Linked DNA regions of Oryctolagus cuniculus. The main gene of each other region encodes a partner of the protein of the gene in region 3 in a complex. Links are inferred from orthologs where the notes say so. Each region holds a gene or a part of one and is shown on either strand. Other genes may lie near its edges. The genes, in order: DDX46, DHX16, SF3B2, SF3B5, SNRNP40, SF3B4 and SNRPD2.

Region 1 (3,500 bases), on a different chromosome or scaffold from region 3:
AAAAATACAACTTTAGGCCGGCGCTGCGGCTCAACAGGCTAGTCCTCCGCCTGCGGCGAAAGCACCACAGGTTCTAGTCCTGGTCGGGGCACCGGATTCTGTCCCGGTTGCTCCTCTTCCAGGCCAGCTCTCTGCTGTGTAGCCCAGGAGTGCAGTGGAGGATGGCCCAAGTCCTTGGGCCCTGCACCCGCATGGGAGACCAGGAGAAACACCAAGCTCCTGGCTTTGGACCAGCGCGGTGCGCTGGCTGCAGCGCACCAGCCGCAGCAGCCATTGGGGGGTGAACCAACGGAAAAGGAAGACCTTTCTCTCTCTCTCTCTCTCTCTCTCTCACTGTCCACTCTGCCTGTCAAAAAAAACAAACAAACAAACAAAAAAAACTTTATTTGGGCTCTGGAAACCAATTAAAACTTTCTAATATCCAAACACAAAAGAAAGAAGAAAAGGAAATAGCAACCATGTCTCGGGACCAGAGCATTTAGTGTGTAACTAACTCTGACCCCACCTGCCCTTCAACCTCTGCCAGCTCCCCACTGCCTACCCACAGCCTCGAAGACAGCAGTCCACACGCCCAGGACCATCTAGCACGCTACTCTCCAAGCCAGCTGTCTGGTGGCTCTCTGCTCAAAAGGCTTGCCTGCACTTCACCTAACCTGGACTCTCCCAGGAGAGAGCCAACACTAGAGGGGGACAAAGGCACTCTCAGCTGCAAGGGCACTAGACACTACCCTGGGGCAGGTAACAGGGCAAACACAAAAAGCTCTGACTAAGGGCTTTGTACAGCTGCCATACATTTGTAGGAACCTAGAAGGCCGTGTGTAGGTCCAGGACTGTGTCTGGGCTCGAAAAAGACCTGGGAAGGCTCTTGGCTGTCACCTGAGATGGCTGACCCCTAGACTGTGTAAGCAGACAGTGAACGCTAACGCTGAGTTACAAGCTGTCTGGCTAAAAGCGCAAAATTTGCCCCAATACAGAACACCTGCAAAGACTAAGAGATTTTTTTTTATCTCTCCCCAGACATTTAAGGAGCTCTGTAAAATCACTTGCTGACTTCAGTAGCCTCACACAAAAACGCAGAGACCATGCAGAGACATGGAAGATGCTCCTGGCTCCTAGCTTCAGATCAGCCCAGCTCTGGTTGTTGTGGCCATTTGGGGAGTGAATCAGCTGATAGAAGATCTCTTTATCTCTCCCTACTCTCTCTCTAACTCTGCCTTTCAAGTAAATAAATAAATCTAAAAAAAATCATCATATGGCCTAATATTGCTGATTCACTTTCTAAACTAAATTATGGCCAGAACACTCCCCACAGAAGCATGAATGAGTCAGTCCTTTCAGAGACTTCAAATTTGACTGAGCTGTCAAAACGGAGAGAGTCTCACAACAAATCAGTCACCTTTGTACAGATACCAAACTTCTACCGAACTCTCCCCCAGTGATTTAGGAAACTATCCTTTCTACTATCGTTTCTTAGAACTGCTCCTTATCTCCCCCCTCTCTGCAAGTGACCTCACGTTCTCCTGCGTCTAGGACACCGACATCAACCTTAATCCTACAGGACATACTTTCAATCGCCAAGTAGATTTTGCGCTCTCCTTCCTTGGGCTCTTTGCCAGGAGGGAAATACGTTCCTCTGATTGTGATTGCGGCTTCCGAGTATTCGCTGATTCTCTGCAGAGCCTCCTTGGAGGTAACCTTCCACCTGGCAGTCTGAAACAAAGGGTGGGGAGGAAAAACACATTGTAACAGGATTTTTAAAACCTGATGTGCTGACAAACAGTAGGGTGGCTAATATTACATTATCCACAATGTCAAGATTATCATTAATATATGCCTGCATTATGACTCCATTTAGCTTCTAACCTACCTAGGACACATTTGCAAAAATAAAAAATAAAATTTCTATTGTTTCCCTCATCTATGTAGAAAGTAAGTAGCCATTAAAATTTTCACAGGTCTAAAAGAAGGGATTTTTGCTGCTCAAGAATCAAGAGTTTCTACCTCATGATGAAGTTCAAAACTTGTTACTTGCCTGTGGGAAGTCATTGATCTCTAATTCTTCCTCGTATCTCTTAAAAGACTCATTCTGTCCACCATCCTGTCTCTCCTCTTCTTGCTTCTCTAAAGGCACGTAATTGAGCTTGGCATTGATCTTCTCAGCAAGCTGCTCTGCGATGGTTTTCGCAGACACAGTAGGTGCGAGAATGGTGCCGCCTCTGAGGATTGCATTGGTGGCCTGCTGCATCACATCCTGCAGGGGAGAAGATCCACAGTCAAATCTCAAAGGGGCACAGAGACAGGGCCAGGAAGCCCACCCCAAGTTCTTCTCTGCAAAGTCACTAACTCTGTTTAAAAGGCCAGCGTTGCGCAGCAGAGTAAACTGCTGCCTGCAACACCAGCATCCCATACGGGCACGGGTTCAAGTTCCATCTGCTCCACTTCCAACCTAGTTCCCTGTTAATGTGCCTGAGAAAGCAGCAGAGGGTGGTTCAAGTGCAGGGTCCCTGCCACTCAAATGGAGACCGGGACGGAGTTCCAGACCCATGGCTTTGCCTGATCCAGCCCCTGCCTTTGTGGCCATTCAGGGAGTGAACCAGCACATGGAAGGTCAATCTCTGTCTCTGCAAATAAACAATATAAATCCTAAAAATACAAACAAAAATAAAGCATCTTTCTAATGCAGATTTCCCACCATATGTGCAATGGACCAGTATGAGAATATATTTAAGACTAACAGTTTAATACATCTTCCTTTTTCTTGATGAGAAAACTAAGAATGTTCTATCTTAAATATTCTAATAGATTTTAGATATATCCCTAATGATTAAGGAACACTTGTATCAGATATAGTACAGTATTTCCAGGATAACTGACATACTTTGTGCTTCTTAGGAGTTTCCTTTATACCATTACCATTACCGAGCACCTCCTCCAGATGGGGAACCTGGCGTTCAATAACAGAAATGACTTACTCACAGTCTTCAAAATACTGTTCAGATTCATAAACCATTCCTCGGGTATGCTACAGAAATTAACTGTTAGTGAAAAATAAACAAGAAAGCTTCCAGGAAAATGCTACGGGAAATATTTAAAAACATTTTCTCCACTGTTTGAATCCATGTTAGTTTGAAACACATAGTATGTGCTTCTACATGCAGAGGATTGTTTGGTGTGCCCAATAACTCACCCAATAAAAGCAGGTTAAGAAAGAAAAAAAATAATTAATCTTGGGGATGGGGAAAAACTGCTATAATCCAAAAGTTGTACTTATGAAATTTATATTTATTAAATAAAAGCTTTCTAAAAAAATAATCACTCTTACGATAACTTTGGTAAGATGAGCCAGAATAATGCTCCATAAAACTAAGCCCAAATGCACACTAGAGAAATCATCCAAAGACAATTATAAAAAAATTCTGGGTTAAGAATGCTAAATTTTCAAAAACTCAGAATCTAGGATATCTTATTTACTGACATCTAACATAATTAAAGAACTTACA
Region 2 (3,957 bases), on a different chromosome or scaffold from region 3:
GCCGAGCTGTGCTGATCTGGAGCCAGAAGCCAGGAGCTTCTTCCAAGTCTCCCACGCAGGTGCAGGGGCCCAAGGACCTGGGCCATCTTCTACTGCTTTCCCAGGCCACAGTAGAGAGCTGGATGGGAAGTGGAGCAGCCGGGACTAGAACCGGCACCCATATGGGATGCTGGTGCTTTAGGCCAGGGTGTTAACCCGCTGCGCCACAGCGCTGGCCCCAGCTTATCTTTCAATAAGCAGCCACCAGTGAATTAATCAAACTGACAGCACAAACGCTGAACACAGTTTGCCCATTTCAGATAATTTTGTCTTTTTTTTTTTAAGGAAAATTTTTTCTTTATTTGAAAGACAGTTACAAAGAGAGGGATAGACAGAGAGAGAGAGAGAGAGAGAGAGAGAGAGAGACGTATTCCATCTGCTGGTTCACTGCCCAAATGGCTGCAAGGGCCGGAGCTAAGCCAATCTGAAGCCCAGAGCTTTTTCAGGTCTCCTTTGTGGGTGCAGGGGCGCAAGGACTTGGGCTATTCTCTGCTGCTTTCCTGCATTGGGAGCTGTATCAGAAATGGAACAGCTGGGACTCAAACAGGCACCCATATGGGATACTGGTGCTTTAACCTGATGTGCCACAGCGCCGGCTGGCCCAAATTTTTTCTTGCAACAGTTTCCCCAGTTCCAACTTTCTTCCTGCTTGGAACTCCCCTTATAGCTAACCTGTATTCACTTTTGTTGCAGATACCATTTCTAGCAAAGGTCAATCCTGCTCAGCACCTGCTAATCTTTCACAGCATGAACATGATCTCATTTGAAATAAAGCCGGCAGCCCGCGTCCCCTTACCTTGAACTATTTTAGACCCGGTAGAAAATATGTACTTTTACTTATTTATTATGTGGCTTACCTCCCTTGAACTCTGAATGTAAACTCGATGTTTTGTCTGATTTACCGTCTGCAGTATCCCCAACATTTTACACCGTGCTTAAAACGCCTTTTTTTAGGCGCTCATTGAATTAATCTCCTTTGAACGAATGAATTAGCGAAGCCTCCACTGACCATCAGGGGGCGATAGAGAAATCGGGCAGGGAAGGAAAATGTGCTACCCAGAGCGAGATTTGATTCTGCGAGATTTGAACTCGCGTAGCCACCGTAGTGCTTAGGCCGGAAACGAGCATCCTCTTCCGGGCTCGGCGGAAGGCGGGTTTGGACTGTTGGAAACCGAACCCTGAGGTTCTAAAGCAGCTCCGTCGCGGGGCTAAGGCTCCGGCCCGGTGCCCCGGGCCTGCCACAGGCCCGGCCGCCGGCGCGGCTGCTCCGGACGCCTCAGCGCTGAGGACCGGGCAGGTGGGTGGCCATGGCGACGCCGGCGGGGCTGGAGCGCTGGGTTCAGGAGGAGCTGCACTCGGTGCTGGGACTGAGCGAGCGGCACGTCGCCCAGTTCCTCATTGGAACCGCGCAGCGCTGCGCCTCGGCTGAGGAGTTCGTGCAGCGCCTACGAGACACCGACACGCTGGACCTGGGCGGGCCGGCGCGGGACTTCGCTCTGAGGCTCTGGAACAAGGTGTCCGAGGGGCGGGGCAGGGGAGGGCCCCGAGTTACGCGTCCGGGGGAGGCTGGCCCGGTTGTCCATCGGGGAGATAAATAAGCTAAAGGCACAGTCATCCTTTGCCGACTGTAGGCTGGGTACTGTGCCTGGTGCCGGGCGTCCGGCTCGGTGGAGAGCATCCGGCAGGTCTTACATGGGGTGGGTTGAGTGCTGTAAAGCAATGTTCCTCCAGCTTCAACCTGCGTAGGAGTCAGCTGTGGTCCTTGTTCAAATGCCCGTGGTCCGCGGGCCGGGCTGTAAGTGGCCAGGCTCTAGAAGAGGTGGTTGGGAAACACTGCGGGAGAGCAGAAGAGGCGGCGGGGACAGTGTTCAGCAAACTCAGGCCCAAGGATCCCCGGGGATTTGTCAAGTGGAGAAGGGGGAGGGAGCGAAGGTGTGAGCGGTGAACTCCTGGAGGATCGCTGGCGTCTGTCCGGGTAGTCCTCCTGCCCAGCCGTTGTCTGTCGGACAGAGCAGGGCCCCATGTGTGCACAGAGTGGGAGTGTCCCAGAACGGTAGAGAGCCTGGTGCGGCTCCGCCTGCGGACCTGTGGCCGGTGTATCCTGCCATCTACAGGTGATGTGGTGATGTGTGACAGCCGGTGTCACATTGCGAAGTTTTGGAGTTTTTTTTTTTTTTTTTTCTTTTTTTAAGATTTATTTTATTTATTTGAAAGACAGAGTTACAGAGAGAGGTAGAGACAGAGAGGTCTTCCATCCACTGATTCACCCCCAGGTGGCCGCAATGGCTGAAGCCACACCGATCCGAAGACAGGAGCTTCTTCCAGGTCTCTCACGTGGGTGCAGGGGCCCAAGGACTTGGGCCATCTTCTACTGCTTTCCCAGGCCATAGCAGAGAGCGGGATCAGAAGAGGAGCAGCCGGGACTAGAACCGGCACCCATATGGGATGCAGGCGCTTCAGGCCAGGGCTTTAACCTGCTGCGCCACAGCGCCGGCCCCACATTGCAGAGTTAACCCTTGTAGCCTGTCAGTCCTTGTGTAGGAATGACTTAAATCCTTGGGAAAAGCAGAACTATAAGAAAGTGGCCAAGTGATTGAGAACTGGGTGTGGGGTTGTAAGCTCTGGGAGGGCAGAGATTTTTGTTCATTCTGGATCCCTAGTACCTAGCAAGTACCCGACAGGTGGGATAGACCTCATTAAACGTGTGTTAAACAAGGAGGCTGTGGTATAGGGGGTGAAGCTGCCGCCTACAGCGCCGGCATTCCATATGGTACTGGTTCGGGTCCCAACTGCTCCACTTCTGATTCAGCTCTCTGCTAATGCACCTAGGAAAGCAGTAGAGGATGGCCAAGTCTTGTGCCCCTGCACCCACTTGGGCGTCCCGGAGAAATGTCCTAGCTCCTGGCTTAGATAGGGTTGTGGCCATCTGGGGTGTGAACCAGCAGGTGGAAGACCTTTCTCTCTGCCTCTCTGTAGCTCTGTCTTTCTTTTTCTTTTCTTTTTTTTTTTTTTTTTTTTTGACAGGCAGAGTGGACAGTGAGAGAGAGAGACAGAGAGAAAGGTCTTCCTTTTGCCGTTGGTTCACCCTCCAATGGCCGCCGCGGCCGGCGCACTGCGCTGATCCGATGGCAGGAGCCAGGAGCCAGGTGCTTTTCCTGGTCTCCCATGGGGTGCAGGGCCCAAGCACCTGGGCCATCCTCCACTGCACTCCCTGGCCACAGCAGAGAGCTGGCCTGGAAGAGGGGCAACTGGGACAGAATCCGGCGCCCCGACCGGGACTAGAACCCGGTGTGCCGGCGCTGCTAGGCAGAGGATTAGCCTAGTGAGCCGCGGCGCCGGCCTGTAGCTCTTTAAAATCAATCAGTCAGTCTTTAAAAAAGTGAATGACGGAAAGGAAGTTCAGAAACTGAGGGGCTCTGTTGAGATGAGAGCAGGATGAAGTCATGGGGAGGAGAGGGAATGCTGGCTGATCTAAGATCAAGTCCTTAAGTCAGGGACAGCCAGGGGGGTGAGCAGCGGTCAGGAGTTGTTCACGCTGCTTATCCCTGACAGGTACCGCGGAAGGCGGTGGTAGAAAAGCCAACTCGGGCGGCGGAGCGAGAGGCCCGAGCCCTGCTGGAGAAGAACCGGTCTTATCAGCTGCTGGAAGACAGTGAAGAGAGCAGCGAGGAGGCCGTGGGCAGGGCTGGGAGCAGCGTCCAGAAGAGGCGCAAAAAACGGAAACACCTGCGGAGGAAGCGCCAGGAGGAGGAGGAGGAAGATGAGGAGGAAGAGGCTCCCGAGAAAGACAAGAAGGCAGGGTAGGTCAAGCAGGGCGAGGGAGGGTGGGCTGGCGGGTGAGGGGCGGACCCGTGGTTTAACCCTGAGCGGGTCTGGGGCTGCAGGGGCAGCGGGCAGCAGCCGGCCAAGCCCGAGTCA
Region 3 (4,132 bases):
TTCCAAGGCACCTAAGGGGACGTCGTGTGGACTAGTGGTGGACCAGTGGGCATCAGCCTCCACGGGCTGTTGTGAGGACTTTGCTAGACATTCTTGATTTGGGCTTTTCTTACAACAACCCTTTACAAATAGGAAAAAAATTTTCAGCTCACAGCTCAGACAGACACAGGCCACAGGTTGTGGTTTGCCAACCTGTGGGCTGAGGAACAACGGAATTCTTCAAGAGATGCTGGAATTTAGCTGGGGATGAGGCAGCCTCCAAAGAAAACGCGAACGGTGCCTCTCGTCCTGCACACTAAGCACGGTTAAGTGACAGCCAAGGCCTGGACCGTGAGGTCAAAGGTCAGGAAGGGGGGCATTACCCGCTTCTGCTGCTCCAAGAGCTCGTGCTCCTTCAGTGAATGATCTCCCTGCTTAAGAGAGAAAACAAGCTCACACCAGCACAACTCCCCACGGCCCGCCTGCCCCAGCTCTGCCGCCAGCCTGCGGCCTGGTTCTGCCTCTGGTCCCGGCGCCAACTCCCCGAGCCCACTCTCTCCGCAGGGACCCACGAGGCCAGGCCCAGGCTCCCCCGCCCTACCTGCTTGGCGCGCTCCTCTTGCTGCATCAGCAGTGCCGCCTGCTGCTGCGCCAGCTTCAGCCGCTCTTCTTCCGACAGCGCCACCGGCTCACCCACGCGGAGAGGAGGCGGGGGCCCCAAATTTGGTGGGTGGGCCATGGGAAAGCCAAGGCCAAGGCCTGGTGGGGGTGGAGGGGGGGGTGGAGGGGGCTGCAGAGGAGGGAGCCCCATGGGTGGCGGTGGCATGGGAATCCCAGAGAGCTGTGGAGAAAATGCGATCGTGAGCCAGGAGGCATTCGCCCACGCCCTCTGCCAGCATCCGCTGGGAGCCTGCTCTGAGCCAGGCACTGGGATTCCAAGTCAGACGAGATCCTGGGGTCGGTGCTGGGACACAGTGGGCTAAGCCTCCGCCTGTGATGCCAGCAGCCCGTATGGGTGCAGGCTCGTGGGGAGTGAACCAGCGGATGGAAGACCTTTCTCTCGGTCTCTGTCTATAAACCTTCCTCTCAAATAAATAAGTAAAAAAATATTCAAAATCAAGGAAAAAGACAGAGACGTGATTTCTTGCTCTGTAAGAGACTGCTCTGTGCACTGGAAGAGAACGGGAAGTTCTCTGGGATACCATCCAAAGAAAGCTACCGACTGTCTCCACGGAAAAATACCACGAACACAGCTGCTCCACACGACTCCAGGACACTTGAGGGACCAGCGCTGGACACAGCGGGTTAAGCCAGCGTCTGCAGTGCCGGCATCCCCTACAGGAGCTGGTTTGAGCACTGGCTGCTCCACTTCCGATCCAGCTCCCTCTAGTGCTCCTGGGAAAGCAGTGGAGGATGGCCCAAGTGCTTGGGCCCCTGCACCCACGTGGGAGACCCAGAGGAAGCTCCTGGCTCCTGGCTTCAGCCTGGCCCAGCCCCAGTCACTGCAGTTATTTGTGGAGTGAACCAGCGGATGGAAGACCTCCGTCTCTCTAACTCTGCCTTCCAAGTAGATAAATAAACCTTTTAAAAAGAGACACTTTTAAAAAGAGCCACGGCTCACTAGGCTAATCCTCCACCTGCAGCAACGGCACCCCGGGTTCTAGTCCTGGTCGGGGCGCCGGATTCTGTCCCGGTTGCCCCTCTTCCAGGCCAGCTCTCTGCTGTGGCCAGGGAGGGCAGTGGAGGATGGCCCAGGTGCTTGGGCCCTGCACCCCATGGGAGACCAGGAGAAGCACCTGGCTCCTGCCATCGGATCAGCGCGGTGTGCCGGCCGCGGCGGCCATTGGAGGGTGAACCAACGGCAAAGGAAGACCTTTCTCTCTGTCTCTCTCTCACTGTCCACTCTGCCTGTCAAAAAAAAGAAAGAGCGAGACAAAGGCCGCTGAAGGAGTGCAGAGCCATGGGTCAGAGGCACTCTCTGGAGGAAAAGCATCAAATCCTGCATAAGTGACGGACGGGAGACAACCGGCGTGCCAGGCGCTGCGAGCTCTGCAGAGTCCACCCGCGCGTTCAGTCTCGCACAGCGACACGGCAGCACGCGGGGCGGGCCAAGAGGTCGACACGGCAGCACGCGGGGCGGGCCGCATTCAAGCGGAACCCCCGGGGCCAGAACTCGAAGGCGCGGACGCCGGGAAGCGGGCCGGACCCGGAGCTCCCACCTCCGCACGGCAGCCCGACGCAGGCGAGAGAAGGGGGCGCCCCCTTACCTGTGCCGACATGGGAGGGGGCGCGGCTTTGTCCCCATCTTCCCCTCTCAAGACCGGCCGGTTCAGCACGATGCCCGTCTGCGAGAGAGAGAGCGAGGCTCCAGGGCGGCCCACCAGGGAGCCAGAGACTCCTCCGCGCCGGGGCCGGCCACCACGACGCCGGGCGGGCCCCCTCGGCCGCCGGCACTCACCTGGCGCGTGTAGCTCTGCAGCCGCTCCACCAGCTCCTCGCGACTCCCTGCGGGCGAGGCTCGGGTCAGCGGCGCGGGCCCGCCCCCGCCCCCAGTCTCCCGGGTAACCGGGCTCCGCGTCTCCACGGACCCTCGGTGCCCTCCCGGCCCCTCCAAGCCCTCACCCTGGATCGGAGCGCCTATCTCTGCCAACTTGGCCTGGAGCTCCTGGGCAGCCCAGGCGCCATAGTGCCCGGGAGGCGGCGGCGGCGGCAACTGCAATTCGCCTTTGGGAGGCTCGGGATGCTCGGCCGCCATCTTGGCCACAGGAAGGCGCGCGACCAGCCCGGAAGCTCCGGCCGCCCTCGGGGCCTACTTCCCGGAACTTCCGGCAGCGCCGCACGCCACGTCCTCTCGGCGGCGGAGGGAGCTCGGCTTGTCACGTGACTCGCCGGCCGGCCGCCGAGCCTTCTGGGAGTCGTAGTACTGAGGCCGCCGAGCCTTCTGGGAGTCGTAGTACACTGAGGCCGCGGCTCCGACGCGGAGCGCAGACCTGGGCTGCGGCGCCCGGAGCGGGGCCGCGCGGGCGGCGAGTCCCGGCCCCAGGGAGTGCTTTCTGCGTCTCGCCCGCCCGAGCGCAGGCTTCCAGCCTCTGGCTCGACTCCCGGGCCAAGCGTGAGAGGCCTGAGTGCCTGCGTTCCCAGGGGGTCCCGAGGGACTCGCTCCGCGGCGGGAGCGGAAGGTCGGGCCGATTGTCTGCCCGGGCCCGCACGGACGGAGTGGAGCGCTCGCTGCCACCCAAGCCCCTTTCACATCTTCCAGGCCCGCCCTCTCCGGCTTTCCTGGAGTTCTCGTAATGCGTTCAAATCTGCTCCATCTTGTTCAAGTCTTGGTCTTTGCACTTACATCCGCCTGAAAAAGACGAGTCGGGGCTTGATCCAACGGCTGCAGCCCCTGGCGTGCAAGGGGCGCCCAATAAAGGTGACCGGAAGAGCGGATCTTCAGCGACATCACTTGTTATCTTTTTTGGTCTTGGTCAGCCCCACTCCGCTGGCATCCCCTGCCGAGCTCACGGAGAGGCGAGCAGGGGACCCTGCCTGCCCAGCTTCCACGTTTGACTGCGCTGCCCCATCGGCTGCATTTCACTTTCCACCTGTGCCACCAGCTCTGCGTCTCCAGGGCCTGTGTGAGTCCTTGTGCTGAGTGACAGGAAGACTCACGAAAGGGTCTCACCACACGCGCGCACACACACACACCCTCAGATCCTTTCTCCACCCAGCTGCATTTAACTGTCCTCAGTGAGAAATACCTGGGAGCCGGGAGCACAGCCCAGAAGGTGAGGGTTGGGGGCAGAGCAAAGCACCGGGCCGGGGGAGCCTGGCTCACACCCCTCCCTCCCACCCACTAGGTCACCAGCCCACGGCTCCTGCTGCCAGTCCCAGGGAAGTCACAACAGCACAGGGAAAAAAAAAAAAAAAAGCGGTGCCCTTCTCTCTGGCACATCAGCCCACTCAGGCAGAACCCCTCCCGGCCTGAGGGAAGGTTCTTTCTGCTCCCTGTAACCGGAGAGCCCACCGGGGCAGGTCGGCTGAGGCTGCAGGCACGGAGCCACGTGCCTCCACTGTCGGGAAGGGGGATCTCTGGGCAGGAGAGGAAGGGCTGCTGGTGACAGAGCGGGGGCCGGGGGACACACCAAGGCGGCCTGGTTTTACCCCA
Region 4 (2,395 bases), on a different chromosome or scaffold from region 3:
CCATGCCTATCAGCTATTGTTTATGGATACACAAACTTTCAGCAATTGGAAAACAGAATGATTGACATTAAATCCAGGACAGTGTCCAAGAGATGAGGGAAGGGAACGCGGAGAACGTTTATTTGCAGAATTTATCTCTTAAAAATCAAAACAAAATCAGGACAAATACGGCAAAATGTCAAGGTTTGATACACCTAGAGGATGAAGCCAAAGATATACCTTATAAATTTTCCACACTTTAGGAATGAATTGTCAAGCTGAAAAGAGCAAAACAAAACTGCTTTTTAAAGTTCTTGCTCTCCGGGCAGCGTTCCTCTCTTTGGCTGTAGTTGTCTCTCTATCCCTCAACTGTTTTTTGGAGAACACAATCTATCAGGCTGTACGAATATCCAAAAAGGATATCCTAAGATAAGTATGGGTTTGTTTTTTCCTCAAGTATTTCTACCGCCGTGAATTTTAAACCAAAAGGTAAAACATAAAGCGAAAATCAGATGCAAAGGAGGAGCCAACCGAAGGCAGACGCGTCGCCGCGGGAACAAAGCCTTTCCCGCGGGCGCTAACGGCTCCGAAGGGGACGCGGGCGCGCGCGGCACCTGGCCGAGTGCGGGCCGGGGTCGTGGGGGTCGGCGTGGAGTCGCCGGGGGCCACCAGCCCGAGAGGCGAGACCGAAGGAGTGTGCGCCGGGGGCGCCCAAGCGACTCGGCCCCGGGGCTGTGCAGGGTCACCGAACGGGAACGGCGGCCCCGCTAGAGCGTGGGACCAGAGGTCGCGTCTGCCGACCTCAGTAAGCCACCCGATTGTGAAGGGGCTACCGTGCCGCCTCGTCAGCGCCTAATTACACCAAGGGTTTATTTTCTTGGTTGCCTGTGCCACTGGCCCACTGGCCCACTTTCTCTTAGCACCGGGCCGACAACGCATGCTCCCCGCCTCTGGGGTTCTGCCCTCCATTCAGCTCTTAAACCGCGGTCTCGGAAGAGACCACAAATCCCAGCATGCAAGACGCTACGTCAGTACAGGGCCACCCACGGACCACCAAGTGGACCATCATGCAACGCTCTCCGAGGGCGGGGGGCGGGACTCTGTTAAAGGGGCGGGACAGTTTCAGTGTCGCTAGGGCAACTCCAATACGGCTTCAAAATGTGCTTCCGCTTCCGCGTCCTCCGCCACTCCGTCGCTGTGACGCAATTTCTCTGCGACTGAGCGAGGCTGCCGGTTCCGTGTGCTGGCCTTTCTCCGGCGGGAAACCCGAGACCGGTTCCTAACCCTCGTGCGACTTCTGACTTCGGAGCGAAAGGGAAAGCGGCAAGATGACAGACCGCTACACCATCCACAGCCAGCTGGAGCACCTGCAGTCCAAGTACATCGGCACGGGCCACGCCGACACCACCAAGTGGGAGTGGCTGGTGAACCAGCACCGCGACTCCTACTGCTCCTACATGGGCCACTTCGACCTTCTCAACTACTTCGCCATCGCGGAGAATGAGAGCAAAGCGCGAGTGCGCTTCAACTTGATGGAGAAGATGCTGCAGCCTTGCGGCCCCCCCGCTGACAAGCCCGAGGAAAACTGAGACGGCGCCTCCTCCAGCGAGCCTCCCGATCGCCGGCGTTGCCCGCGCGTTCCTGTCTCCAGTGGACTGGTTCTTCCGCGACTCCTTGCTTCTCCGGCCTTCCGGGTGCAGAAGTGCTCGCCGAGGTGTCCCGCCGGTGCTGTCTTCACGTGGATCCCTCGGGACGCAGCACCAGGACCGCCGGGGCTCCCTGAGAACTGCGGGTGAAGAGGTCCGAGAGCTGGCGGGCGTTGGGGAAGACGGCACTGGAGTGAGGGGATTTGGAGGCTCGTGTTTGACTTAGTTGATTGTCGCGTTGCCTTTTTCATAAAGTTTAGAATCTGTTAAGTCTCTTGGTGTGATCTGTTTGTGTTCCAGGGGAGAAGGCTGGGGAGGACTCGGAACCAAAGGTTCTGTGCGTGTGCAAGTAGGAGAGGGTGGGTGGAGGGCACAGAACCAGCCTGCCTTGCCAGGCACTGAAATCCGCCCAGCATGCCCTTTGGGGAGCTTCAGAAAGCCCCTGGAAGGTTAAGCCTCCGCCTGCAGTGCCAGCATCCTATATGGGCAGCTGGTTGGAGGCCTGGCCCCTGCACTTCTGATCCAACTTCTTGCTAATGCTCCTGGGAAAGCAGAGAAGGGTAGCCCAAGTGCTTGGGCCACAGGCACCCATGTGGGAGACCCGAAAGAAGCTCCAGGTTTCAGTCTAACCCAGCCCTGGCCATTGCTGCCATCTGGGGAGTGAACCAGCAGATGGAAGATTCTCTTTCTCCGACTCTGTATTTCTAACTTTAAAATAAATGAAATTTTATTATTTTTTTTAATTTTTTTATTTTTGACAGGCAGAGTGG
Region 5 (3,500 bases), on a different chromosome or scaffold from region 3:
TGTTATTATTATCACCTTCACTCTTCATGTGAGAAAACATAAGCTTAAAGTGAACAAGTTAAAGAACCCATTTGAAATCACAAAACTAGAAAACAGCAGAAGTGGGATTAGAACCCAAGTCAAATTAGTTGAAGGTTTAAGCTACACTGTACTGCCACACGGCCCACTGCCTCCTTCTCCAAAAGTATTACTTTCTCTCATTCTTACTAGAAGCTTAGAAAACTTAATTTAAATAGTGTCAAAAAGAAAAACACAGCAAGAGTGGAGGACACCCGTCCTTCCACTAGTCCTCCACCCAGGGGATGCATGCGGCACATGAACCGCCTGGTCCCTGACAGCATTTATATGGGCTGCAATGAAACCTTTGATTGAGGAAGACAATGAGGACCGAAGAGAAAGAAAGTTCTAAGTTATTATTGTAATTTTAGTTGGTATTAAGCACAAAGCTACCACAATCCCAAAAGTCTTCAAAGATTTGCTTCTGTAAGTGGATGCAGGTCAAAGTGAAATACAACACGAACATCACATACCTTGATATCATTGTCTATTCCACCAGAAATAATCTGATCACTTGTGTCATTGAAGGTCACAGCTAACACTTGGTATGTGTTCTGAAATGTCTGGATGGCTGCTTTCTTCCGGATATCCCAAAGCTAAAGCAGAGGAATAGGACAGTCTATCAGTAACATCTCCTTGAGAAGTAACTGCACAACATACTTGGTAGACATGAACACATCTAGAACAAGAACCTCATTCAGAAACTTTCTTGGATGTCCTAGCAACACATGGTAAAAAATGATCACAATTTTGCCAAATTATTTGAAGGCTGGTGGAATAAACTATTTTGGTTATATTTTCAGACTCCTTTGGTAATAAAGTTAGAATAAAATACTGTTAATCAACATGCCCTTGGAAGAAGTCCTCTATAAGTTTACTTCGTATATTCTTTAGGAGAAAGATATTAGACCACTGCCTAAAAAAAAAAAAAAAAAAAAAAAAAAAAAACCCACATATTTACTATTTGAAAGGCAGAGTTACAGTGAGAAAGGAGAGCAAGGGAGAGTGAGAGATCTTCCATTTACTTGTTTACTCCCCAAAATGGCTGAAGCTAGTACAGGCAGAAGCTAGGAGCCAGGAACTCTATCTGGGTGTCTCACATAGGTGGCAGGGGCAAAGCATTTGGCTCATCTTGTGCTGCTTTCCCAGGCACATTAGCTGGGACTGGATTGGAAGCTGAGCAGCCAAGACTTGAACTGGTTCTCATATGGGATGCTGGTGTCACAGGTGGTGGCTTAACCCACTGCATCACAGCTCTGACCCTACCTTGTTTTGTTTTTCAAAGATTTTATTTATTTATTTATTTTTAATTTGACAGGTAGAGTTATAGACAGTGAGAGAGAGACAGAGAAGAAGGTCTTCCTTCTGTTGGCTCATTCCCCAAATGGCCGCTATGGCCGGCGCTGTGCTGATCTGAAGCCAGGAGCCAGGTGCTTCTTCCCGGTCTCCCATGCGGGTACAGGGACCCAAGCACATGGGCCATCCTCCACTGCCTTCCCGGGCCACAGCAGAGAGCTGGACTGTAAGAGGAGCAACCAGGACAGAAGTTGGCGCCCCAACCGGGACTAGAACCTGGGGTGCCAGGGCCGCAGGCGGAGGATTAGCCTTGTGAGCCCCGGCGCTGGCCAGACCGCTCTCTCTTTGTATCCCTACCTTTCTATGTAACTGTCTTTCAAAATAGAAAAAAAAAAAAAAAAAAAAAAAAACTAAACGTTTTCATGTTTAGTTCTAGTCATAATTTCATAACTACATTCATAGTAGATGGTTTACTGTTAGTTATAATTAAAGTCAGTTAGTATCCTCTCCTATCCAAACAGTAATTTTTTAAAAGATCTATTTAATTATTTGAAAGACAGAGTTACAAAAATGGTGAGAAACAGAGAGATCTTCTATCTGCTGGTTCACTTCTCAAATGACCATAGCAGCTGGGACTGGTCTGGGTCAAAGCTAGGAGTTCAGAACTCCATCCAGGTCTCGCACATTGGTCACAGGAGCCCAAATACTTGGGCCATCTTCAGCGGCTTTCCCAGGCGCATTAGCAGGGAGGTGGATCTAAAATAGAGCACCTGGGACTCAAAACAGCACTCCAAAATGAGATATCACTGTCACAACTCTGGCCCCCTAAACAGTAATTTTATTAAATCATTCAGTAAATGTTTGTTGGCTCACCTCTCTGTCTCATCATGAAGGAAAAAACACTAAGATACAGTTCTAGCTCAGAGAGGAAATTGAGAACTGTTAACGAGAGGCAGAACAAAATATTTTTATATAGATTTTTAAAAGTTATGTTATTGGGGGCCGATATTGTGACGCAGTGGATTAAGTCCCCACCTGCAATGCCAGCATCCCATATGAGCACTGGTTCGAGTCCCAGCCTCTCTTTTTCTTCCAATCCAGCTCTCTGCTATGGTCTGGGAAAGCAGTGGAAGAGGACCCAAGTGCTTGGGCTCCTGCATCCGTGTGGCAGACCCGGAAGAAGCTCCTGACTCCTGGCTTCGGATCTGCCCAGTTCTGGCCACTGCGCCATTTGGGGAGTGAACCAGTGGTTGGAAGACTTTCTGTCTTTTCCTCACTCTGTAACTTTGCCTCTCAAATAAATAAATAAATGGCACACTTGCACACTGCTGGTAATAATGCCCCCTGGAGGTTTATGTTGTGTAAAACGGTCTGCCGGGGATCTGGGTTTGTCTTGAAACCCTGCAGCTAAAATTTTTATTGCATGTCTTGATTTATCTTACTGCAGAGTGGAGACTCAGACCTAAATTACTTAGACAGGAATCCTAGCTTTGTCACTTAGTAACCTGGAAAAGTGTACTCCATGTGACTTAGTTTTCTCCTCTATGAAATGGCTCTAAGCATACATGCAGAGCCAATCTACAAAGACTGGGAGAGTTTTTTTTACTTGTTCTAGGTGATAAAAGAATCACTAGTTGATAACTAAAATAATGGAACAAGACTTCAGTAGTTATGCAGGACAAACAACACAGTCTTCACAAAACTAGTTTAAAAAGTCACTAAACTGGGGCCAACACTGTGGCATAGAAGGTTAAGCCTTTGCCTGAGGAGCTGGTGTCCCATATGGGTCCCTGCACCCATGTGGGCAACCCGGAAGAAGCTATTGGCTCCTGACTTCAGCTGGGCCCAGTTCTAGCCCTTTTGGCCATTCGGGGAGTTAACCAGTGGATGGAAGACCTCTGTCTCTTCTTTTCTCTATGAGGAACTCTGCCTCTCAAAAAATAAATAAATCTTAAAAAAAAAAAAAAAAGTCGCAAAACAAACCAACAATGACAACTACAATGGCTCTGGTGTTGGGGCATAGTGGTTTGTTTTGTTTTGTTTTTTTGACAGGCAGAGTGGACAGTGAGAGAGAGAGACAGAGAGAAAGGTCTTCCTTTGCCGTTGGTTCACCCTCCAATGGCCGCCGCGGCCGGCGCACCGTGCTG
Region 6 (4,032 bases), on a different chromosome or scaffold from region 3:
AGAGAAAGGTCTGAAGGGGAGAGGTACAAAAGTGGATCTGTCCACTGAGCAACAGGATTATGGATTTAGATTGTTAATAATCATGAACTAGAGATACAGACTAGGAGACATCAGTGTATACTTAATCTAGACCCAGAGAAAAATCAGTTTATCAAATTGACTGAAACTGAGGTGTCAGGTGGAGAATCCAAAAAACAGATGAAAAAAACAGACAAGAATTTCAAACAGGAGTACACAGCTAGTTTCAAATACAGCAGAGGGCAAACCATCTAAGAAGTCGAAGTATCCCCTAGACCACTGCTCTGGGGTTGAGTCAGAGAGAAGGGAAACAACAGGGAACAAACAAACAGCAAGTATAGGCTACTCTGCAGAAAGACTTACACAACAGGACAGGTGGTAAGTAGTAAACTAAAGAGAGCATTTTGTTCGTTCACGCACATCCCTCCCTTTCCCAGCCAAGAACACCTACCTGGATGGGGCATGCCACCTGGTGGGAAGGGGTGAGGATGTGAGTGTCCATGACCAGGATGTCCAGCCCCCGGGGTGCCTGCTGATGGAGGGCCATGTCCTCCAGCCCCAGGAGGCATTGGTGGGGGGGGCATGGCTGGAGGTATTCCAGGTGGGAGGGCTCCAGGAGGCGGCACTGGGGGTGGGAAAGAGCCAGGAGGAGGCATGCCTATATAGAAATCAGAAGAAGGATTAATGGCGGTGGGCAAAGAATGCCTTTAAAGAACCTGTCCCAGTTTGACCTGTCTATGCAGGGTGAGTTCTTGCCCCCTCCTCCCAGTGCTCTAAGGTCACAAGCCATGTTGCACTACTCAAATAATCCTACCTCCCTGGAGAAGCCCGACAGAGTTCTTCACACCCCTCCCACCCACCACCTCCTAACTCCCTTCTCATCACCCACTGACTCAGGAGATCTTCCCTTTCCAGGTTCTTTGTTCTCCTCACTGCAGCCCCAAGACAAACGTATTTGCGAACCAAAAGCTTTACCTGGTGGAGGAAGCCCAGACCCCAGTGATGATACCACAGGGTTGGGAGCAGAGGGTGGAGGGGGTGCATCTGCAAACAGCTGATGTGGGCGATCAGCCTGGGAGAGTGGGTTCTGGGCTGCCAGAAGTCGTTCAGCTGCGGAGCCATGGCGCTCACCCTTGGAGTCCTTCTTGAAGGCATAAGACACGGTGATGGGGCGGTTACAGAGGTACTGCCCATTCATGGCCTCAATTGCTGCATCCGAGGCATCAAATGAAGCAAAATTAATAAAGGCATAACCTTTGGAGTTGCCTGTGTCAGGGTCCCGCATGATCTTGGGGGTTTGTAAGATGACCCCAAAGGCGCTAAAAGTATCGTAAAGCAGCTTCTCGTCAATCTCCGGGTCCAGGTTCCCGATGAAAATGTTGGCCCCGACATCCAGGTTTTTGTTGTGAGCTGATGCCTTGTTCACTCGTATTGGCTTCCCATAGAGTTTGATCATGTTCATGATCTTAATGGCATAGTCAGCATCTTCTTCACTCAAGAATTCCACAAAGCCATAGCCTAAGCAGGCAGAGAGGAGATTAGCAACTAGAGCGAAGATACCCGAAACTGGGTAAAACTCACCCACCCTCCAATCACAAAGAACAAGAAAATGATTTTAGAAACAAACTGTGAACTGAGGATTAAGAGAAAGCAATCTGGGGCCGGTGCTGAGGCACAGTGGGTTGGGCATCTGCCTGCAGCACCAGCATCCCATATGGGCGCCAGCTCAAGTCCCAGCTACCCTACTTCTGATCCAGCTCCCTGCTGATGGCCTGGGAAAGCAGGAGAAGATGGCCCAAGTCTCTGGGTCTCTGCACCAGGGTGGGAGACCTGAAGAAGCTCCTGGCTTCAGACTGGCCCAGCTCCGGCCAGTGCGGCCATTTGGGGAGTGAATCAGTGGATGGAAGGCCTCTCTCTGTCTCTCCCTCTCTCTGTCTGTAACTCTGCCTCCCAAGTAAATAGATAAATCTTTAAAAAAGAGAAAAGAAGAGGAAGCAATCTTCTGGTCGCTCATTCTGAAACAAGTATAAATACCGCTGGGACCCTCAGGAGCAGCTGTCAGATACATAAAGTGGCCTCTTGGCGCGGACTCACCTTGGTGCTGGCCAGTGACTCTGTCCTTCGGCATGTGAGTGTTGACCACCGGTCCTGCCTGCAGGAAGAGCTCCCACAGCAGAGGTTCGCTAACCTTCTCGTCCAGGCCCCCCACGTACACAGTAGCATCTGGAGGGAGGATGCAGGAATTTAGGATGGGGACGAATATGACAGGAAAGGAGCTGACCGGGACATAAAGATGGAACCCAGTTAGAGGAACTGCAGGCGGGGATGTGGGACAGAAGCGAAAAGGGGGAGGTGGAAAGCATCCAAATAAGCCCTAAATCGTCCTCTTCGCAGGACCTAGAGCCCCTTCTGAAGTTCACTTTAGTGTCTGCTGCAAATTCCGTCCCACTCAGAAAAGGCAGCAGGGGGACTGCACGAAACATCACACGTCCAGGCCTCAGCCTGCACCCGGCCAACCCGCCCGCACCAGCCACGGAAGCGAGTCTCGCGCCCTCCGGGGGACGGGGGTCCAGTTTCCCGCCTTGGAGACGCTACTGGCCTTAGCTGGGGCTTCCCACCCTCCCGGGCCCATTCCGGACTCGTCTCCCCGCCCAGTCACCCTGGTTCCGCTCGGAGATCGGCCCGGCAGCCATGGCGAAAAGAATCCCGCCGCCTCCAAGCAGCGGCTCCGCCCTCTGGCCGCGGTCACTACTTCCACTTCCGGGGCGAAGACTTACGTGACGCTGGGCGGGGCCCGGACGGGGGCGGGGCCGGAAGCGGCTGCGGCCATCTTAGGATCCCGCGGGACTTGACGGTGCTGTGGCGTCCCGGTTCAGAGGCGTTTGGATTTGCGCCGAGGTTCCGGGGCGAGCGGTCGTAGCGAGGAGGGCGGGGCAGGAAAGCGCAGGCCCTCTGAAAGCAGTGCCAGACGTCTCCCACCGGTGCGGGCGTTTGGCACAGCGGTTAAGCCACAGCATCCTCAGTCAAGAATTACAGGGTCCGAGCCCCGGTTTCCCCCGACTCGAGCTTCCTGTAAATGCACACCTTGGGAGGCAGCAGAAACCCCAAGTTTGGTCCCTGCCACCCATGTCGGAGACCTGGATTGTTCCCCGCTCCCGGTCTGCGTCTGGCATGGCCCCGACTGTTAGAGGCATTTGGGGGAGTGAACCAGCGGATGGAAGTTGTCTGTTCCTCTCTTTCAAGCTAAAAATAGTAACTCTTCGTGTATTTTGTAGCCAGCTGATCCTTTTGTCACCCAAAGGAAAAGGTTCTCAGGGACCCCTCAACCTAAGGACTCTGCTCCACAAGCGTCTTAGTTTTGGCCTCATGCCTCTGGCTGGCTCGAGGTAATGTCTGAGCCGGAGTGTGAGCAGAATCTGAGGCTCCCCGGATGGAGTGTGACCAAAGCTGCAACTCCAAGAGCACTTTCTGGCCCCAGCAACGTCATAATATGCTCTTGGCTGTCTGCCTCTAAATGGGAGATGAGAATTCTGAGCCTCACGTGGTCCAAATCCATTCCTTTCTTAGAAATCATACGATGGGGACCTTTTCTCAAGTCTTTGCTATCTAGGATCCTTCATTCAAATCCAAGAATCAGTGCCAGCAATGTGTATAAATATTGTGCTTTAATGAACTTAAATAGAAATGCCACTACAAAAATGTACAGTTGGAAGAGAGGGTGTGTTTCATATCCACTTTGTTTCCAAAAGAAACTATACAGGAAGAAACAGAAATTGGAATTAAAATAGGCAGCAAGAAGGGGCAAGAATGAGGTCTTTAGGCCATACTGTTGGAACTGGTGAACAGCGTCTCTGGTGTCACAACTTAAATAGCTGGCTATCTATAAAGCAATTACATTGTGGATTGTTTTGTTTCTTAATTCTTCAACTCCCAGGAAACAACAGCTTCAGGAACCAAATAAAAGGACAAGAATTAAAGATTAGCACCACCGTCCACAACAAACTCAATTCTAAG
Region 7 (4,142 bases), on a different chromosome or scaffold from region 3:
GCCCCTCTTCCAGGCCAGCTCTCTGCTGTGGCCAGGGAGTGCAGTGGAGGATGGCCCAGGTGCTTGGGCCCTGCACCCCATGGGAGATCAGGAAAAGCACCTGGCTCCTGGCATCGGATCAGCAGCGCGCCGACCGCGGCGGCCATTGGAGGGTGAACCAACGGCAAAAGGAAGACCTTTCTCTCTGTCTCTCTCTCTCACTGTCCACTCTGCCTGTCAAAAAAAAAAAAAAAAAAAAAAAAAAGGCTAAGAAGCCCCCATCTTCCAACACATGTGATGTTTCAGTCACACCACACTCCTGCGGATCTGTGACCACCAGGGGGGCGGTCCCTGGAGGGAGGGCGCAGGAAGGAGATCGCCCGTCATCAGGTGCCTGTTTGAATGAACCCGCCCCACCTGCACACACTGCGCATTCAGTCGCGGGTGGGAGGGGCTGAGGGGGCAGGCAACAGCCCGCTGGCCGCAGTGTTCTCAGGCCAGGACCAGCAGAACCGGGCGGCAGGAGAGCGCCTGGAAGGTTCTCCTGCAGGACCGAGCCCTGCCAGGGGCACCTCTGCAAGGCTGTGGGCACCACAAAGGACGGCCAGGGGCACGGTGAGTGCGTGAGTGAGACACCACAGAACACACGGGGGCGGCGCTGTGGTTGGTGGGCTGACGCCCTGGCCTGCAGCGCCAGCATCCCACAAGGGTGCCGGTTCGAGGCCCGGCTGCTCCTCTTCGATCCAGCTCTCTGCTGTGGCCTGGGAAAGCAAAAGATGGCCCAAGTGCTTGGGCCCCTGCATCCACGTGGTAGACCAGGAGAAGCTCCTGGCTCCTGGTCAGCTCAGCTCAGTGAACCAGCGGATGGAAGACCTCTCTGTGTCTCTATCCATAACTCTACCTCTCAAAATAAATAAAATATTAAAAGCCTGCCTGCGTGCTACCCCCGGCTCTGGCCCCACTGTGGACATCCGGGGAGTGCCCAGCAGGTGGGAGCTCTCTCCGTCTCTCCGCTTCTCTTTCAATGAATGAACCAAAAGGTGTCCTGTGGCCAGGCACTTCATGCGTGTTAAGTCACCGCATCTCTGTATCCACCGCGACGACTGCCTGCCACTGTGCGGACAAGATAACGGCACGCGCTGAGGGTCGCCTGGCCGCTCAGAGGGACAGCACAGCAGGGGCCGGCTGGCGCCCACCGCAGGGCAGGGCGGGAGGCGCGGCCTCGGAGGAGCCCCGCCCGCAGGCCCCTCCCTCCCGGGCCAGGCCCCGCCCCCGGCCGCGCACCTGTCGAAGGCCTTCACGCGGCCCAGCAGCTTCTTGTTGTTGCGGCAGTTGATGAGCACCTGCGTGTTGTTCTTGACCGACTGCGTGAGCACGGAGAGCGGGCCCGTGTTGAACTCCTCCTCCTCCCGCTTCTGCAGCTCCTCGGGGGTCATCTCGCTCTTGGGCTTGTTGAGGAGGCTCCTGACGGGGGAGGAGGGACCCGCGGGTGAGGGGAGGAGCCGGGGCCGCCCCCCAGCCCTGCCGGCCTGGTCTCTAGGCATCAGCACCTGGAAGCCACCAGCCATCCCCAACCCCGCCCGCCCCGGCTCAGCTCCCGCTAGGCCCCCTCCCCAGCCTGCTGCACCCAGGGCACACCACTCCCTGGGGGGTAAGTCCGCCCTTCTCATTGGCCGGGCAGAAGCGGACGTCCACTCCTCTTTCGTCTCCCACGGCAACTCGGACAGCAGCCACTGTCAGGACTTGCTCTACGGCGCCCCCACCTTCCTCCCCCTGGCGTCTGACGCCCACTGCCCCACAATCGGACGCTTGTCCCTCGGCATCCACAGGGGGCTGGTCCCAGGATCCGCGTTGCCCGGGTCCCGGAAGCCTCAGCGGCTCGGATCCCTTAGGTGGGATGGCGGGGACGCACACACACACACCCTGCGCACACCTCCCGCTCGCTAAGTCATCTCCAGGTTACAGCGTAACGGGACCTGACTGTGCTGCGACCCCGTGGAGCCCGGGCAACAGTCACAGGAGAAAGGCCTGCCCGGCCACTCGGGGCTGGCCAGCCTCGGTGTTCAGAACAGCACTCGGGCGCCGGCTTAAAAACCAGCCTGCCGTAGTCCCGCTCGGCAGGGCCGAATCAATGCGTCTGCCGGCCGTACCCCTCCCCCCGGCCGGCTGCAGAATCCGACCTCCGTGCCAGGGCTACCTGCACCCAGGGGCAGCCTGGGGGCCGTGCGCAAGCCTAACTCACGGCAGCCTCTTCGGAACCCTCCCAGGGCCCCCGGCTGAGCCTGCAGCCCCAGCCGCGGCGTCGTTGCGAATCAGGCCGAGCAGCCACGGCCCCCGGCCCCAGCTCACGTTCCAAGCCCCTCGCCCCCAATCGCTATGCCTAAAAGCCCGCGCCCGCTCCCCGGCTTCTGTAACTCGAGAAGCCGCTTCTTAACCTTCACTCCAGCGAGCTGATGACGCGGAGGAGCCGCTGCCCGTTCTCTCACAGAGCTGGCGGCCCTCGCGGACTCAGGGTCCGCCAGAGGCCCCGGGGGCCGGTCCCACGCTCATTACAGAAAATTCGCCCGAGAGCTCTGCTCCGCCCCCGGCGCTGCCGCCCCCTTCCGCCGCTAATCGGCCGCATTCGCACCCACAACCTCACGCCCGCCGCTTAAGCCCAGCCCGGCCTCACATGGTGCCGGCCCCGCGTTCGGGTCACTCTCACTCCAACCTCCTCCGCGTTGCTTCTGCCTCTGCGGATGGAGCGCGAGAGGGGCGGGACTTCCGCTTCCGGCGGGCCACTTCCGTGGGCGCCTGCGCAAACCCACCCGGCGGGCTGGGGCGTGGCTTGTTGCCATAGCGACCCCCGCCGGCTGCGCAGCGAGGGGGCCGAAGCCGCGAGCGGCAGTTCGAGGCCTTTAAGGACCACAGCGGGCAGGTGTTCATCGGGATGGAGAGACCAAGACAGAGAGTCCGAGTCGCGCCGCTTCGTGGTAGAGGCGGGACAGGCTGCAGGAGGGAAACGGCCAGAGGTTTCTAAATGCCCGCCAGCCCCGTCTCCGGGGGCGCGGCCTCCACGAAGCCAATCCGGTCCCGGCTTCGGGGCCTGACGCCTCGCTGGATCTTCCCGTCCCGCGGAACCAATCCCTTTCCGCGGCCGGGCGCTGCCCATTGGCTTTACCCGCTCCGCCGGGGCGGGCCGCACGCCTTCGCGTCCCCTCTGGGGGTTGTGCAACCCCTCTGGGAGCCAATCGCGACACCCCGGGCCTCCGGGGAGGCTTGTCCTCGGGAGCTGCACCCGGCTCGCCGGGCCGGGGTGGTGCCCGGCGCTCTTGTCGCTCATTGGCTTTGTGATTCCATGGGGTGGGACTTGGCTGGGCCTGAACTCCATCCGCGGTCCCTGGCCGGTTTCAGGGCAAAGCTGCCATGCGTCCCGGGGGCCGCGGGCGGCCCCGGCCCCGGCTCGGGGAGCGCGGCCTGATGGAGCCGAGCTCGCCGCTCAAGCGCCGCCTGCTCCCGCGGGCGCAGCTGCTGCCCGTGCTGCTGCTGGCGCTGGCCGTGGGCTCGGCCCTCTACACGCTGTGGGGCAGCTGGCACCGCAGGACCGAGGAGCTGCCGCGGGTGAGGCTGGGCGCGGCGCGGGCACTGGAGGGCCCTCTCTCCCCGCTTCCTCTTTCCGAGTTTCGGTTTGACGTGGCGCTACCTGGGGCCCTGGCCGCAGGTGCCACCGGCTGCCTCCCCGGAGCGCAAGCCCCCTCCCAACGCGCCCCCTGGAAAGAAAGGCTCCGGAGTCGTCAGGATGAGGGTTTTGGGTTCCACGCCCGAAAGGCAACTCTTGGAAGCCTCCCTTCCCCTCGCTGGGCTTCGGTTTCCATGTCACGATCGAGGGGTAGGCTAAACCGGGTGGGCTTGGAGAGACTTTGATCCTGGAAGTCTCCCATGCCGCGGAGGCACCCGGGCTTTTGGGGGGAGGGAGCAGTGCGCTCATTCTTCTCTTCTTTAGACGCCGCTGACCGGAAGTCTCCCGGAGGCCCGGCTGCGGAGGGTGGTGGGGCAGCTGGACCTGCAGCGCCTCTGGGGCACTTTCCTGCGACCGCTGCTTGTTGTGCGAGCCCCGGGCACTCCGGGCAGTCTCCAAGTCAGAAAGGTACGAGGCCCCGTCTCCTCTCCCAGCGCTGACCCGC

What was found.
Region 1: SF3B2 (region 3) and DDX46 share a complex: the UniProt entries of both Homo sapiens proteins name them as parts of the 17S U2 SnRNP complex. The link is inferred for Oryctolagus cuniculus from reciprocal best matches to the Homo sapiens genes SF3B2 and DDX46.
Region 2: SF3B2 (region 3) and DHX16 share a complex: the UniProt entries of both Homo sapiens proteins name them as parts of the minor spliceosome. The link is inferred for Oryctolagus cuniculus from reciprocal best matches to the Homo sapiens genes SF3B2 and DHX16.
Region 4: SF3B2 (region 3) and SF3B5 share a complex: the UniProt entries of both Homo sapiens proteins name them as parts of the SF3B subcomplex of the 17S U2 SnRNP complex. The link is inferred for Oryctolagus cuniculus from reciprocal best matches to the Homo sapiens genes SF3B2 and SF3B5.
Region 5: SF3B2 (region 3) and SNRNP40 share a complex: the UniProt entries of both Homo sapiens proteins name them as parts of the minor spliceosome. The link is inferred for Oryctolagus cuniculus from reciprocal best matches to the Homo sapiens genes SF3B2 and SNRNP40.
Region 6: SF3B2 (region 3) and SF3B4 share a complex: the UniProt entries of both Homo sapiens proteins name them as parts of the SF3B subcomplex of the 17S U2 SnRNP complex. The link is inferred for Oryctolagus cuniculus from reciprocal best matches to the Homo sapiens genes SF3B2 and SF3B4.
Region 7: SF3B2 (region 3) and SNRPD2 share a complex: the UniProt entries of both Homo sapiens proteins name them as parts of the minor spliceosome. The link is inferred for Oryctolagus cuniculus from reciprocal best matches to the Homo sapiens genes SF3B2 and SNRPD2.

What each region holds. Positions count from the first base shown.
Region 1 is NC_091437.1:23,025,437-23,028,936, reverse strand, and holds part of DDX46 (probable ATP-dependent RNA helicase DDX46), read right to left. Parts: intron 2,252-3,500; coding exon 2,033-2,251; intron 1,711-2,032; coding exon 1,566-1,710; intron 1-1,565. UniProt on the Homo sapiens protein: Component of the 17S U2 SnRNP complex of the spliceosome, a large ribonucleoprotein complex that removes introns from transcribed pre-mRNAs.
Region 2 is NC_091436.1:139,758,642-139,762,598, forward strand, and holds the start of DHX16 (pre-mRNA-splicing factor ATP-dependent RNA helicase DHX16), read left to right. Parts: upstream 1-1,157; 5' UTR 1,158-1,346; coding exon 1,347-1,553; intron 1,554-3,591; coding exon 3,592-3,839; intron 3,840-3,923; coding exon 3,924-3,957. UniProt on the Homo sapiens protein: Required for pre-mRNA splicing as a component of the spliceosome. Contributes to pre-mRNA splicing after spliceosome formation and prior to the first transesterification reaction.
Region 3 is NC_091432.1:5,766,885-5,771,016, forward strand, and holds the start of SF3B2 (splicing factor 3B subunit 2), read right to left. Parts: upstream 2,801-4,132; 5' UTR 2,735-2,800; coding exon 2,602-2,734; intron 2,485-2,601; coding exon 2,438-2,484; intron 2,325-2,437; coding exon 2,247-2,324; intron 821-2,246; coding exon 581-820; intron 414-580; coding exon 363-413; intron 1-362. UniProt on the Homo sapiens protein: Component of the 17S U2 SnRNP complex of the spliceosome, a large ribonucleoprotein complex that removes introns from transcribed pre-mRNAs.
Region 4 is NC_091436.1:24,439,768-24,442,162, forward strand, and holds SF3B5 (splicing factor 3B subunit 5), read left to right. Parts: upstream 1-1,163; 5' UTR 1,164-1,307; coding exon 1,308-1,568; 3' UTR 1,569-1,895; downstream 1,896-2,395. UniProt on the Homo sapiens protein: Component of the 17S U2 SnRNP complex of the spliceosome, a large ribonucleoprotein complex that removes introns from transcribed pre-mRNAs.
Region 5 is NC_091438.1:141,089,577-141,093,076, reverse strand, and holds part of SNRNP40 (U5 small nuclear ribonucleoprotein 40 kDa protein), read right to left. Parts: intron 654-3,500; coding exon 531-653; intron 1-530. UniProt on the Homo sapiens protein: Required for pre-mRNA splicing as component of the activated spliceosome. Component of the U5 small nuclear ribonucleoprotein (snRNP) complex and the U4/U6-U5 tri-snRNP complex, building blocks of the spliceosome.
Region 6 is NC_091438.1:48,025,975-48,030,006, reverse strand, and holds the start of SF3B4 (splicing factor 3B subunit 4), read right to left. Parts: upstream 2,801-4,032; 5' UTR 2,712-2,800; coding exon 2,678-2,711; intron 2,242-2,677; coding exon 2,113-2,241; intron 1,537-2,112; coding exon 994-1,536; intron 677-993; coding exon 470-676; intron 1-469. UniProt on the Homo sapiens protein: Component of the 17S U2 SnRNP complex of the spliceosome, a large ribonucleoprotein complex that removes introns from transcribed pre-mRNAs.
Region 7 is NC_091449.1:11,275,486-11,279,627, reverse strand, and holds the start of SNRPD2 (small nuclear ribonucleoprotein Sm D2), read right to left. Parts: upstream 2,801-4,142; 5' UTR 2,653-2,800; coding exon 2,651-2,652; exon of another isoform or gene 2,415-2,650; intron 1,444-2,414; coding exon 1,264-1,443; intron 1-1,263. Other genes in the region: QPCTL (glutaminyl-peptide cyclotransferase-like protein), read left to right, coding at 3,385-3,579, 3,962-4,105. UniProt on the Homo sapiens protein: Plays a role in pre-mRNA splicing as a core component of the spliceosomal U1, U2, U4 and U5 small nuclear ribonucleoproteins (snRNPs), the building blocks of the spliceosome.